Linked DNA regions of Saccharomyces cerevisiae S288C. Each later gene encodes a partner of the first gene's protein in a complex. Each region holds a gene or a part of one and is shown in the gene's direction. Other genes may lie near its edges.

Region 1 (3,059 bases):
GACCCGTTTAAACGCAGCCGCCTAATTGTTTCTGTTAAAAGTGGTAAATCACAGCCTTTAAGGTCTATTACATGATGGTTACCTACACTGAATGCCACTTCATCTATCGACTCAATACCATCCTGTGTATTGATAAGAGAAGAAACGGTTAGGTTATTGCTCATATACATCCAGGTGGGTGGTGAGTATGTTTTCCACCATATGTGAACGCCCATTTGTTCGGTACGAAAGTGGAAGTAATCTCCCAAAAATTGGATAATTCCTGCTTGATGTGAAATTCCCATGATGAACGCCATGATTATGTTAAAAAGAAGCCAAGTTCCCTTGAAAATTTTCTTGTTTACTAACGTGGAACTCAGAGGTGTCCAGTTTAAGTTTGTCACGAGTAGTGGCACTAGCGGTACAAGGAATCTTAATTCTTGATGTTGAAAGAATGAAAGAAAAAGCAGGCCAGATATGATTGCGTAAGTAGATAATTTATCGAGTTTGTAACCGGAAAAAATCGCTAGCAGCAATACTGGGCCAACTATTTGAGGTAAATTGACCAGCAGATGGGTGTATCTTGGATGTAATCCATGTACTTGCAAATTTTGGACATTGAGGTTGTATTTCAGGTTATTCAAGGGCGTAATGACAAATCCCTTTCCGTTGTTATAAATATTTGTATCAATAAGAACAAATAGACACGAGGAAAATGAAAATGAAAGTAAAAGTAAAGAAAAGGATTTCCAATGGACCCGGTAAAACTTCCAGAATAATATCAAACATGGTAAGAAAATAAATGCAGGAAAAGTAACTCTATTAAAAACACCAAAACTAAATATAAGTCCCAATATAACCGAATTTTTGAAATTACTTCTTTGAATATTTTTTTCGTTTACCATATCTTCCATTACAGTTAAAGTTGAGATTAAAGCCAGCGTTTCTATGGAATTGGAAAACGTGTGTGTTTGGTACGTCCAGGTTACGTAAGAAGTTAAAAGTAGACTTTTTTTGATGAATTGTACGGCCTTTCTCTCATCCCTTATTAATTTAGGTATTAAAAAATGATAGCACAATAGGTACATCACATAGTTTTGTAGTCTCATCGAATACAGAATTAACGCTGGGTTGTCCTGAATTTCGGGAAAAGATTCTAAAATAGTGAACAAAGGCCCGTAAACCAATAATAGGGGGCCGTAACTCCTAGCAGCAAATTTTGATTTAAATTCCCATGGGATGGTACCTTTGACCTTCATGAACTGCATAGCCAAAATCTCGATGCATTGGAAATGTTCATCTGGATGAATATACGACGGGCCTAGGCATAGCATTAGGCCGATGGCATATACTAAATAAAGCCACCATTGATACCTCATCATACACTTCCAAGTACCTGATGTGTGCTTGCGAGTAAGAATACTATGATATCTTATCGGACATATAGATTTTCAGGCCTTTTGTATTGTGTTTTCATCTTTATATTACTTCAGATTGTGCGCATCTCGCGAAATCCTCAGAGCTTCAGATTTGAACTTGTTGCCGACATAGTAAGTCCTCTCAGCACCTTACTGTAGAAGCACCTTTATAAGTTATATTAAATCAATACATCTTCTATGAGATACATAGATCGATAAGTTGACTTTTTTTCACTATATTAGTGACTGGTTTTACTTCTTACAAACATTACAGTCCGCACATAAAAAGCTATTACGATGTCTATATAATGTTTTGCTCTATATTGCACGTACCAAACACGCTACTAGTAAGACATGAGTTCCATCTAGCGAAGAATCACCGCACGCTATGGTTACTTAGACGGTTATGGTTTAGTTAATTATCGTTATAATGTTGATTGTTACCCGCATGGAGCCTTCCTTGTAGTTTAGAGATCTTTAAAACGTTCTAAATAAGTAAAAGAGAAAGACCTTATGAATACACTGATATCATATAGAAAAAGAAAGCAATACCAGCATCAACAATAGCCTATTCATGTCGCAGAAGATTGGACACAGTGGCTTGGCTTTTGCGCGCCTTTGGCACCATGTCGACGTTGCCCGTGATAAGAGGACATTGGGTAGATTGGCTTCAGCAATTGCAATTACCTTAATTGGTAGACATAAGCCGGTCTATCATCCGTCACAAGACTGTGGAGACTACGTAGTAGTGACTAATTGCCAAAAAATCCGTGTAACAGGTAAGAAATTTGAGCAGAAGACTTACTGGTCTCATTCAGGTAGACCTGGTCAGCTAAAGTTACAGACAATGAACAAGGTTGTTGCCGATAAAGGATTTGGAGAAATTTTGAAAAAAGCAGTTAGCGGTATGTTGCCTAAAAATAAATTGAGAAAGCAACGGTTAGACCGCTTAAAAGTTTTCGATGGAAGTGAAAACCCTTATAAACAAAATATTACTGCCTTTGCCCATGAGCAATCATCAATACCAGAGCCTCTTAAAGAATCAATTTTTAACCAATTGAAATAGCTTATTGAAATTATTTGTCATTTTTTTATATATCCTTTTTGCAGTCTTCAATCCATGTATATATTTATCTGTTATGTAGTTTTAATCAAAACGCGTATTAAAATCTTCTTTCTTTTATGAATACTAAATATATTTAACAGTGTGTAACAGCAACATTGTTCCAAAATGAACACCGTATATTTTTCTTATAACTTTTTACATAAGTCATTATTTATGACTTGGATATTTAAGGTTTTCCGCTAAAGTTCATTAATATGTCTTGATAAAATTAAATTTTAATTTGGTAAAATGCGAAACAAGGACTATAAATAAACACTGTGAGTCCCATTTTATTCATCATTATTTTTGTGTTTTTTGAATGCTTGAAAGTTCTCTCTGCTTATTAAAAGAAATGCTTCATTCTTATTTTATTACTATTGCCTACTTGTTTACCCTTTTTTTGGCAAGATCAGCACAAATGAAATGTTTTTTATTATTTTACTTTCTTAGAGTTACAACATTATTTCTTAAAAATCTCTCGAACGATCGGTATATAAACGTGGTGTAATGTTCATAGCCATAAGTTCTTGGAATAATAACTTCGCGGCGTATGGAAT
Region 2 (2,805 bases), on another chromosome or scaffold:
TGCAAGAGAGTTCAAAAGTAGCTTTGGCTCTCTGGAATGGAATAATTTCAAAAGTTTTGTCAATTCTGTACCAGATAATGACTCTCAACCTCAGGAAAACATCGGGAATTTGATCTTAGACCGTAGCGTTAAAATTCCGAGTACAGATTTCCAACTGCCGCCACCTCCTAAGTTATCAATGGTTGGTTTCCCCCTGCTTTATAAATATAAAGCTAATCCATTTGCGAAAAAAAAAAAAAACGGTGTCACAGAAGTGAAGGGAACATATATCAAAAACTATCAGTTGTTTGTTCATGATCTTAGTGATAAGACAGTTATACCGTCCCAAGCTCATGAACAAGTCCTGTACGATTTTGAGGTCGCGAAGAAAACAAAAGTCTATCCAGGCACTAAAAGTGACTCTAAATTTTATGAATCGCTGGAGGAATGCTTGAAAATTTTGAGAGAGCTCTTCGCTAGACGTCCAATTTGGGTTAAAAGACATCTTGATGGGATTGTCCCGAAGAAGATACACCATACTATGAAGATAGCGCTGGCACTCATATCTTATCGTTTCACAATGGGGCCTTGGAGAAATACATATATCAAATTTGGTATAGACCCCAGAAGTTCAGTGGAATACGCCCAATATCAAACAGAATATTTTAAGATTGAAAGGAAATTACTATCTTCTCCCATAGTGAAAAAGAATGTACCAAAGCCACCACCCCTGGTATTCGAATCAGACACTCCAGGCGGTATTGACAGCAGGTTCAAATTTGATGGAAAAAGAATACCGTGGTACCTGATGTTGCAGATTGATTTATTAATTGGTGAGCCAAACATTGCAGAAGTTTTTCACAACGTCGAATATTTAGATAAGGCGAATGAACTAACTGGATGGTTCAAAGAATTAGACTTGGTCAAGATAAGAAGGATAGTAAAATACGAACTTGGTTGCATGGTTCAAGGAAATTATGAGTATAATAAATACAAGTTGAAGTATTTCAAGACAATGTTATTTGTTAAAGAATCCATGGTACCCGAAAACAAGAACTCAGAAGAGGGAATGGGTGTTAACACCAATAAAGATGCTGATGGGGACATAAATATGGATGCAGGTAGTCAAATGTCCTCAAATGCCATAGAGGAGGATAAGGGTATCGCTGCTGGTGATGATTTTGATGATAATGGCGCCATAACTGAAGAGCCAGACGACGCTGCTTTGGAAAATGAAGAGATGGACACTGATCAGAACTTGAAGGTGCCTGCAAGTATAGACGATGACGTGGATGACGTTGATGCAGATGAAGAAGAACAAGAAAGTTTTGATGTTAAAACAGCGAGCTTCCAAGATATCATAAATAAAATAGCTAAACTAGATCCTAAAACCGCGGAAACAATGAAAAGCGAGCTCAAGGGATTTGTTGATGAAGTCGATCTGTAATAAGTAGGTTTTCTTTTATTTCAATATCAAAATATGCCAAATGTGCAATAAAACCATAACTACGTATGTGATATTTCTGAGTTTTGTCCCCAAACCGTAAAGAGCGATTATCTCGTGCAAAATGCATCAAAATCAAATAACTAAAATGAAAGGGTATCATTATTATTCCTAAAAGTTAAGAATGCCTCCAGAAAGAACGGGTACCAACGCAAACGAACACACGTTTTGTTCACTCCTAATGTTGAAGTCTATATTTGCGAAGCGATTTGCTTCCACAGGGTCATATCCTGGTTCTACAAGAATTACTTTGCCAAGAAGGCCTGCAAAAAAAATTCAACTGGGGAAGTCACGACCGGCTATTTATCACCAATTCAATGTCAAAATGGAGTTGAGTGATGGAAGTGTAGTTATCCGGAGATCCCAATATCCAAAGGGTGAAATTAGATTAATTCAAGACCAGAGAAATAATCCGCTGTGGAATCCTAGCAGGGATGACCTAGTCGTTGTGGATGCTAATTCTGGTGGTAGCTTGGACAGATTTAACAAGAGGTATAGCTCTTTGTTTTCTGTCGATTCAACGACCCCAAATTCAAGCTCTGAAACAGTTGAACTATCTGAAGAAAATAAAAAGAAAACACAGATTAAAAAGGAGGAGAAGGAAGACGTTTCTGAAAAAGCGTTCGGTATGGATGACTATCTATCTCTGTTAGACGATAGTGAACAACAGATCAAATCAGGTAAGTTGGCCAGTAAGAAGAGAGACAAGAAGTGAATAGTGTTTGCTCCCCTTACTTTTCTATTCTCGAACCAATTTATATTCCTTTTGGGACATAGATCTCAATCGCATCTGTTTGAAGACTACATAAACAGCCTTGTATATACCGCAACATATACACATACGTCTACATATGTATATATTGACAACGAAGATTCTGCGAACGCTTGGTTTGGCGCTATCGCGATAGATTAAGTGCAACAAGACACACATTTACAAACATAATATGAACCAGATATGATTCATGGATTATCGAGGCAAATGGTCTGTGAATGAAGCTCACTTACGCTGCAATAAGCAGCAACGGCATTGTAGTGATCATTTTCTACGCCTCGTAATATTTCAGCGCAGTGGAAAAAAATTGAAAATTTTTACTCTTCTCGAGTGTTGAATCACTGCTGCGATACTTATCACGTACTTTGTATACATAATTTTACTTGCAATTAGGACTCGAAATCTGTTCAATTACTTTTGAGGATTTCTTTTATTTTAGTTTCCCTTTTTGCATTCGTGTTGATTTTCAAGAAAAATTGTCGTTCTTCAATATCAGTAGACGATTTTACTCTCAGATTGTTAAAAAATCGGTTAAGATTAAAAGAATGAG
Region 3 (2,550 bases), on another chromosome or scaffold:
TTGTTTTCAGAGTTGAGATTATTTGCTGAGTATTTAAGTCCCAGATTTTTATAATCCCGTCAGTCAACCCGCAATATAAAAATGGGAACTCAATAGTTTGGGATATGACGCTATCTTCATTGTCGATTTTATCGTTTATCAAGGAGATTTTAACAGTGTTTTGCCCTTTATCTTTAGAGAACTCCCAAAGCTTGCTTATTCCATCACCAGCGGATGAAATTATGTGCTCTGCACCAGAAGTTCGTGAGCTTTTTTCCAATAACTGATTAAACCTGGGACACAATTTATTAATAGAATAAATAAACCCATAATGTGCATATTTAATAATGTTTTCGGAGGGAACCTCTATGATGGCAGCGCCACAGTTTTCTTGTAGAGAGGTCAATGAAGTTTGAGATAATGAATTTGAACTATATCCAGTCGGACCTAACGAATCAAAGAACTTATCATATCTTCTATGCGGTAATTTATTGATATTTTCTACTCCATCAGAGGATTTTTTTTCAATCTTCTGAATCAAGTTCTCAACATATAGTAAGCTTGCATTTTGACAGCCAAAGACAATAGTTTCCAACGAATCCAAATATGCCAATGAGAAAATATCACCAATATCGGTCACTGAGTAAACAGTGGCTATTTCAGTAACAGGTAGAAAGTCATCTCTAATGGTCTTTTCGCCAATGGACCAAATTCTCACCAAAGAATCTGCGCCGCCTGAAAATAAAAAGTTTTCATCTTCTGATCCTGTCAAGCACAAAACCGAAGATCTGGTATGCGTTTCCTCTTGTGATTCGCCTAGTCTAATCGTATGTATTAGATTATATGTGGGAAGATCAAAAACCAATATCTTGGAGTCTTGGCTACCAGCAAACAACAATCTTTTTTTTGGAAATGCAACAATGGATAAGATGGAAAAAGCGTGATTCCACCTATGAATTAGTTCAGAGTGCAATGCGACACCCCTGCTATCGTACATGATTTCACAATTACTTCTGCCCTCGTTTTTCACTTTTCCTTACAGGGTTGTTCGGTTTCTCGAAATAGTTTTTCACTTAAATAATTCAGTTACACACATTTTATTGATATTGGTGCCACAGCTTTTCGCGGCGCACAATGCGATTATCACTCAAGTTTATGGTAAAGTCGGTATTCCCTCTCATGAGAAAAAAAAAAAAAGATACCATCTTCATTGAACTTCTAATTGCAGCAGTAATTGTGAGCAATGCTCAAGAGCTTCCTTACCATATAACAAAACATCGAAATCAGAGGATCATTCTAGATCAAAGTGAAATGCCCTTAACTATGAAAAGGAATACGAAAATAGCTGTGAAGTGTTATTATAATTATTAACAAGGTTAGTAATCTTTAAACAGAGCCTAATACTTGCGGGAAGGACTTTCAATGTTGCTTCACTGCAGCTTGTTGGCGGCTATTTGATGATGATTTTCTTGAGATACATAATTATTATTATCACGTTTCACGGATTATTTTTGAAAAGCTAGAATTAATACAAAAGATAGGACTATTGAAGTAGTATACACCAATTTTTGCTTAAAAAAACTACGGGAATCAAAGATTACCTTGAAAGTGAGGACAGCAAATAACTAAAATGAAAGGCTCACCCATTTCTCAATTTAGTAAGACCTCTATTAATGCTCTTACCAGGCCTTGGAAGAAATACAGAGATGGTGAATTATTTTATGGGTTATCAAAAGTTGGGAATAAAAGAGTGCCGTTGACCACGAAGCAAGGTAACAAGACGATGTACAAAGGGACAAGAGCTTCAGGGATTGGTAGACATACAAAATTCGGTGGTTATGTGATAAACTGGAAGAAAGTCAGAACCTATGTTACCCCAGATATGGTTAATTTCGAATTAAAGCCCTACGTTAACGCAAATGTACCACCTCTAAAACACGAATTTAAAGGATTTAGCGGCGGCCCATTAGATCCTCGTTTACAGTTATTAAAGATAAAAGAATACATAGTAAACGGGAGGGTACAAAGCGAAGGGGCCACCGACACTTCATGTTATAAGGAGCGTGGATAAGTTATTTATAATCTTTCTTCAATATGCGTGTAAATACTAGTTTTCGACTTTATAGGTAGATAAAAAATAAAACTTAAGATTGTAAAACAAAATCAAATAAAACATGGCTTAGACATTGCACCATATGTCATCTTTCTTTGAGTTAAATATAGATACATATAAATCTAAAAGAAGAGCAAAAAGTTCGTACGTATATAAATGCGCGTAGCAGAGAGAATTTGATCTTCTTTTTTGTTTTCCTTCTTTTTTTTCTTTTCTTTGTTTACATAGCACCTGGAACACCCAAGACTTGATTCAAAGCACTTTGACCGCCACTTTGTTGGTATTCAATGGTAATGACTTCTAGCAAAGAAAACCCACCAGCAATGCCAACAACTATACCAGCAGCTTTACCTTTCAAACCCAAAGATTCACCGATAACGGTGATCAAACTTAAGACGGATGCACCCGTAACAGCTGCGATTGGAATGACTTTGTTCAATTCTTTAGCGACATTCTGT
Region 4 (3,028 bases), on another chromosome or scaffold:
CAGGAAGTTCATCTTTATCGACTAATTCCATAAACGGTTCACTTAGCTTGACTTTGTCGTCTAAGTTTTTAGGAGATGACGCACCCAGCAGAGCCTGGTTGATTTTCTTTTCCGTGGCGTCAACTAGCTTATTAAGATAGTGCAGTAATTTGGCTTTGACCTCGCTGTTAATTAAGTAATTTCTTTTCAAATTTTTTGCCTTCAATACTTCAAATTCAATCAACATTACTACTTGCATGGAGTTTTTTACAATCAAACTGTCATATTCATTGTAAGCTTGACAATTCTTTGTCAGTAGCTCAACATCCAAAAGAAAATTACTTGGACCATCTTCGTATTCATAATCTCTTGACTTGATTTCATTAATAGACATTGGCTGCTGGATCTTGTAATAATACTGTGGATGAAACTTCCTACTTGGTAGTTTGATGAAATCTTTGAAAATATCTTTGTATTTGTCGATAAGAACATCCAAAGTGAAACTAATAAATCGATTAAATTTAGGTATATGCCAGTCATCTAGAAAAAGTTCAGATTTAGGGTTTAATGGGGCGTTATAATCCACATGCGGAGTTTTCTCTTGGTTTTTAGGATGTTTTCCCGGCAAGTATTTAGGCCTTTCATCACTGCCACCGGCCTCAGTTGCCAACTTACGCTTCTTAACTACCATATCTGTGTACTTTATCTATTATTCTTTGGTTTGCTCTCTATTGTAATAACAGGCTGAGGGTCGTTTTAAACATCATCCTCTAGCATGCTTTTGTTGTTTTTTTTCTTGGGCTACTTGTCTTCCGAATTCGTCAAATGTGATTTTTTATTTCATTAACTATTTAACATTTATTTATAAAGCTTGTATACCAATGATGTTATACAAAAAGTTCATTAAAAGGGAACCGTCAAGGGGCCTGGTTTGTTTACCTGGGACTGGCTGAAAATTTCATTTAGTATATTAGAGTGCAACTTCTTTAACTGTTCCTTTGATATTTTCGCTGAATCCGGTGATGTAAGCAGAGTAAACGTATTAGTCCTTGGTGCAGTTTGGTGAGTAGTTGCCTGTGCGGATCCGCTTGAAGGCACTGAGTGCCCACTGAGGTTGTCATCACCTGCACTCCTTTCGTCTTCCCGGGAATCTCCACCTTCTTCCTGTTGTCTTTTATCAAGAGCTTCTTGCAGGTCTGTCCCTTGAATTACAATGCCACTATTGTTTATCATCGATATGTCTATTAGTTTATCGTTGGTGTTTGCAACAATGTCTCTTAACTCTTGTTCCCTGGCCAGCAGTTTCTGTTCGTGTTCGTGTTCCTTCAACCGCATTTGTTCGGCATCGTATTCGTCATTTGCGTTTCCTTGACTTCCATAGCCTGCCTGCTGTTCCCTCAGCAAAGCTTCATTCTCTTCGCCGGAATGGTTTCTACAACAGCTGAGTACGGCTCCCATTTTTACGACTTAAATCTGTCGTTGTATCCACTACCGCTATACTGGATTCGTACTCTGTGAATGCTCTCTTTTATTCTTCGTTCTTTATCGCTGCTGGTGAGGCGGGTAGCTGACAAATTTATAGTGAAACAACGACTTCTGTCAAATTAACTGCATGCCTGATCATCAGTCCTGAAGTGAATAATGGGTAGACGGAAAGGCGGACATAGTATGAGGATGTCGTCACTGCTTAAATTACATTGTATTAGACCATTGCCGCAAAGGTCGGTCTGGCTCTCTGGCTACAAGCAGAAAGCCAGATGTATTCACAGTTCCGCTGCAAACGGGGACTTTATGTCATGGTTCAAGAGGAAGAAGCAAGAAGAGCACCAAGAGCCTGTCAAGGACACCAAACAGTTGATAAAGGATATTGAAGAAGGCACTAACGAGGCTTCCTCTCAATCCTCTTCCAATAACAAAAACAGATTGGAGCTAATACCAGAAAATTTTATTGGCGAAGGGTCTAGACGGTGTAAGAGACAGAAGGAGTTGAAGCTTGCGGTCTCCTCTGCGCCATTCAATCAGTGGTTATCCAGGGATAAGATTACGTCTGATAATCAGTTAGATGATATGATATTGCAGGCAACGGAAAAAACATTGGGCAAAGTAGACCAGGACGTCCAATTCTCTGATTTGGTAGCTAAATTTCAGTTCACCAAATTTTTGCAATCTAAATCTGGCTATCTAATTCCTGATTATGAACTGACCACTTTAAGCACACCCTTGCAGTTTAAAAGGTATATTAAGGAAAAAATTTTGCCATCTGCCAACGATCCTAAACTCGCTTATAAAGAAGCTGAGCCAAATGCTATCCACCCATTTTCTGATAATTACGCGTCACCAAACATATATGTTGTTAACGATGTTACTTCTAAAGAGCAAAAAAGTAAATATGATACTATTATGAAAGAAATTCAAAAGTTAGAGGATGATGCAACAAGAAAAGCTTTGGAAACAGCAAGATCCGCTTAGCTTATGTTAATACTATTATTACTACTATCATTACATTTTAATATCCTGTACATATATATACTCTTTGAAGAAGTTTGGATTTTTCTTTCCCATTATAGATCACTTTTTTTTTTTACCTTATCTTTTCTGTAAGTTCTTTTTGTGGCTATATTTCCTCTTTGGCGGCTAACTCAAGAAGCAGTAAGGGAATAATTCGTTACACATTACAGCTAGCTAAAATCATCAAGAGGCAGGAACACACGAGATATACTGATAATGTTGGAATGTCTAAGCGCTCTGCTGGTTCTCTTTGCCGGTGGTGGTGGGAGCGTTCTCGCAGCGGTTCAAAGCAAAACTGTGGCAGATCCTAACTTATGTCCAGGTTACAATTCACAACTGATTTCCCCCTTCCTCTCCAGTTGCGTATGTACAACAAATTTACCGAGGTACTAATATTCTCTAGATTTTATTACTGACAAGATCCATGTGAAGAAACGAAATTTAAGTGAATGCGTGTCCCGTTATTTTGATGAACAATATGCATTTTGTCGGTCATGCGTTACTGTGAATAATGAAACAATGGAGGACTTGGATAACTGCA

Evidence for each region.
Region 2: MRPL23 (region 1) and MRPL36 share a complex: the UniProt entries of both Saccharomyces cerevisiae proteins name them as parts of the mitochondrial large ribosomal subunit.
Region 3: MRPL23 (region 1) and MRPL27 share a complex: the UniProt entries of both Saccharomyces cerevisiae proteins name them as parts of the mitochondrial large ribosomal subunit.
Region 4: MRPL23 (region 1) and MRPL13 share a complex: the UniProt entries of both Saccharomyces cerevisiae proteins name them as parts of the mitochondrial large ribosomal subunit.

Annotation. Positions count from the first base shown.
Region 1 is NC_001147.6:610,028-613,086, forward strand, and holds MRPL23 (mitochondrial 54S ribosomal protein uL13m MRPL23), read left to right. Parts: upstream 1-1,971; coding exon 1,972-2,463; downstream 2,464-3,059. Other genes in the region: SMP3 (glycosylphosphatidylinositol-alpha 1,2 mannosyltransferase), read right to left, coding at 1-1,361; DNA-directed RNA polymerase II core subunit RPB2, read right to left, coding at 2,970-3,059. UniProt on the Saccharomyces cerevisiae protein: Component of the mitochondrial ribosome (mitoribosome), a dedicated translation machinery responsible for the synthesis of mitochondrial genome-encoded proteins, including at least some of the essential transmembrane subunits of the mitochondrial respiratory chain.
Region 2 is NC_001134.8:483,363-486,167, reverse strand, and holds MRPL36 (mitochondrial 54S ribosomal protein bL31m MRPL36), read left to right. Parts: upstream 1-1,664; coding exon 1,665-2,198; downstream 2,199-2,805. Other genes in the region: transcription factor TFIIIC subunit TFC1, read left to right, coding at 1-1,426; GRS1 (glycine--tRNA ligase), read left to right, coding at 2,801-2,805. UniProt on the Saccharomyces cerevisiae protein: Component of the mitochondrial ribosome (mitoribosome), a dedicated translation machinery responsible for the synthesis of mitochondrial genome-encoded proteins, including at least some of the essential transmembrane subunits of the mitochondrial respiratory chain.
Region 3 is NC_001134.8:766,631-769,180, forward strand, and holds MRPL27 (mitochondrial 54S ribosomal protein mL41 MRPL27), read left to right. Parts: upstream 1-1,609; coding exon 1,610-2,050; downstream 2,051-2,550. Other genes in the region: glutamine amidotransferase subunit DUG2, read right to left, coding at 1-976; SSH1 (Ssh1p), read right to left, coding at 2,313-2,550. UniProt on the Saccharomyces cerevisiae protein: Component of the mitochondrial ribosome (mitoribosome), a dedicated translation machinery responsible for the synthesis of mitochondrial genome-encoded proteins, including at least some of the essential transmembrane subunits of the mitochondrial respiratory chain.
Region 4 is NC_001143.9:449,843-452,870, reverse strand, and holds MRPL13 (mitochondrial 54S ribosomal protein mL50 MRPL13), read left to right. Parts: upstream 1-1,653; coding exon 1,654-2,448; downstream 2,449-3,028. Other genes in the region: RSC4 (Rsc4p), read right to left, coding at 1-670; MEH1 (Meh1p), read right to left, coding at 883-1,437; YKR005C (uncharacterized protein), read left to right, coding at 2,704-2,850, 2,920-3,028. UniProt on the Saccharomyces cerevisiae protein: Component of the mitochondrial ribosome (mitoribosome), a dedicated translation machinery responsible for the synthesis of mitochondrial genome-encoded proteins, including at least some of the essential transmembrane subunits of the mitochondrial respiratory chain.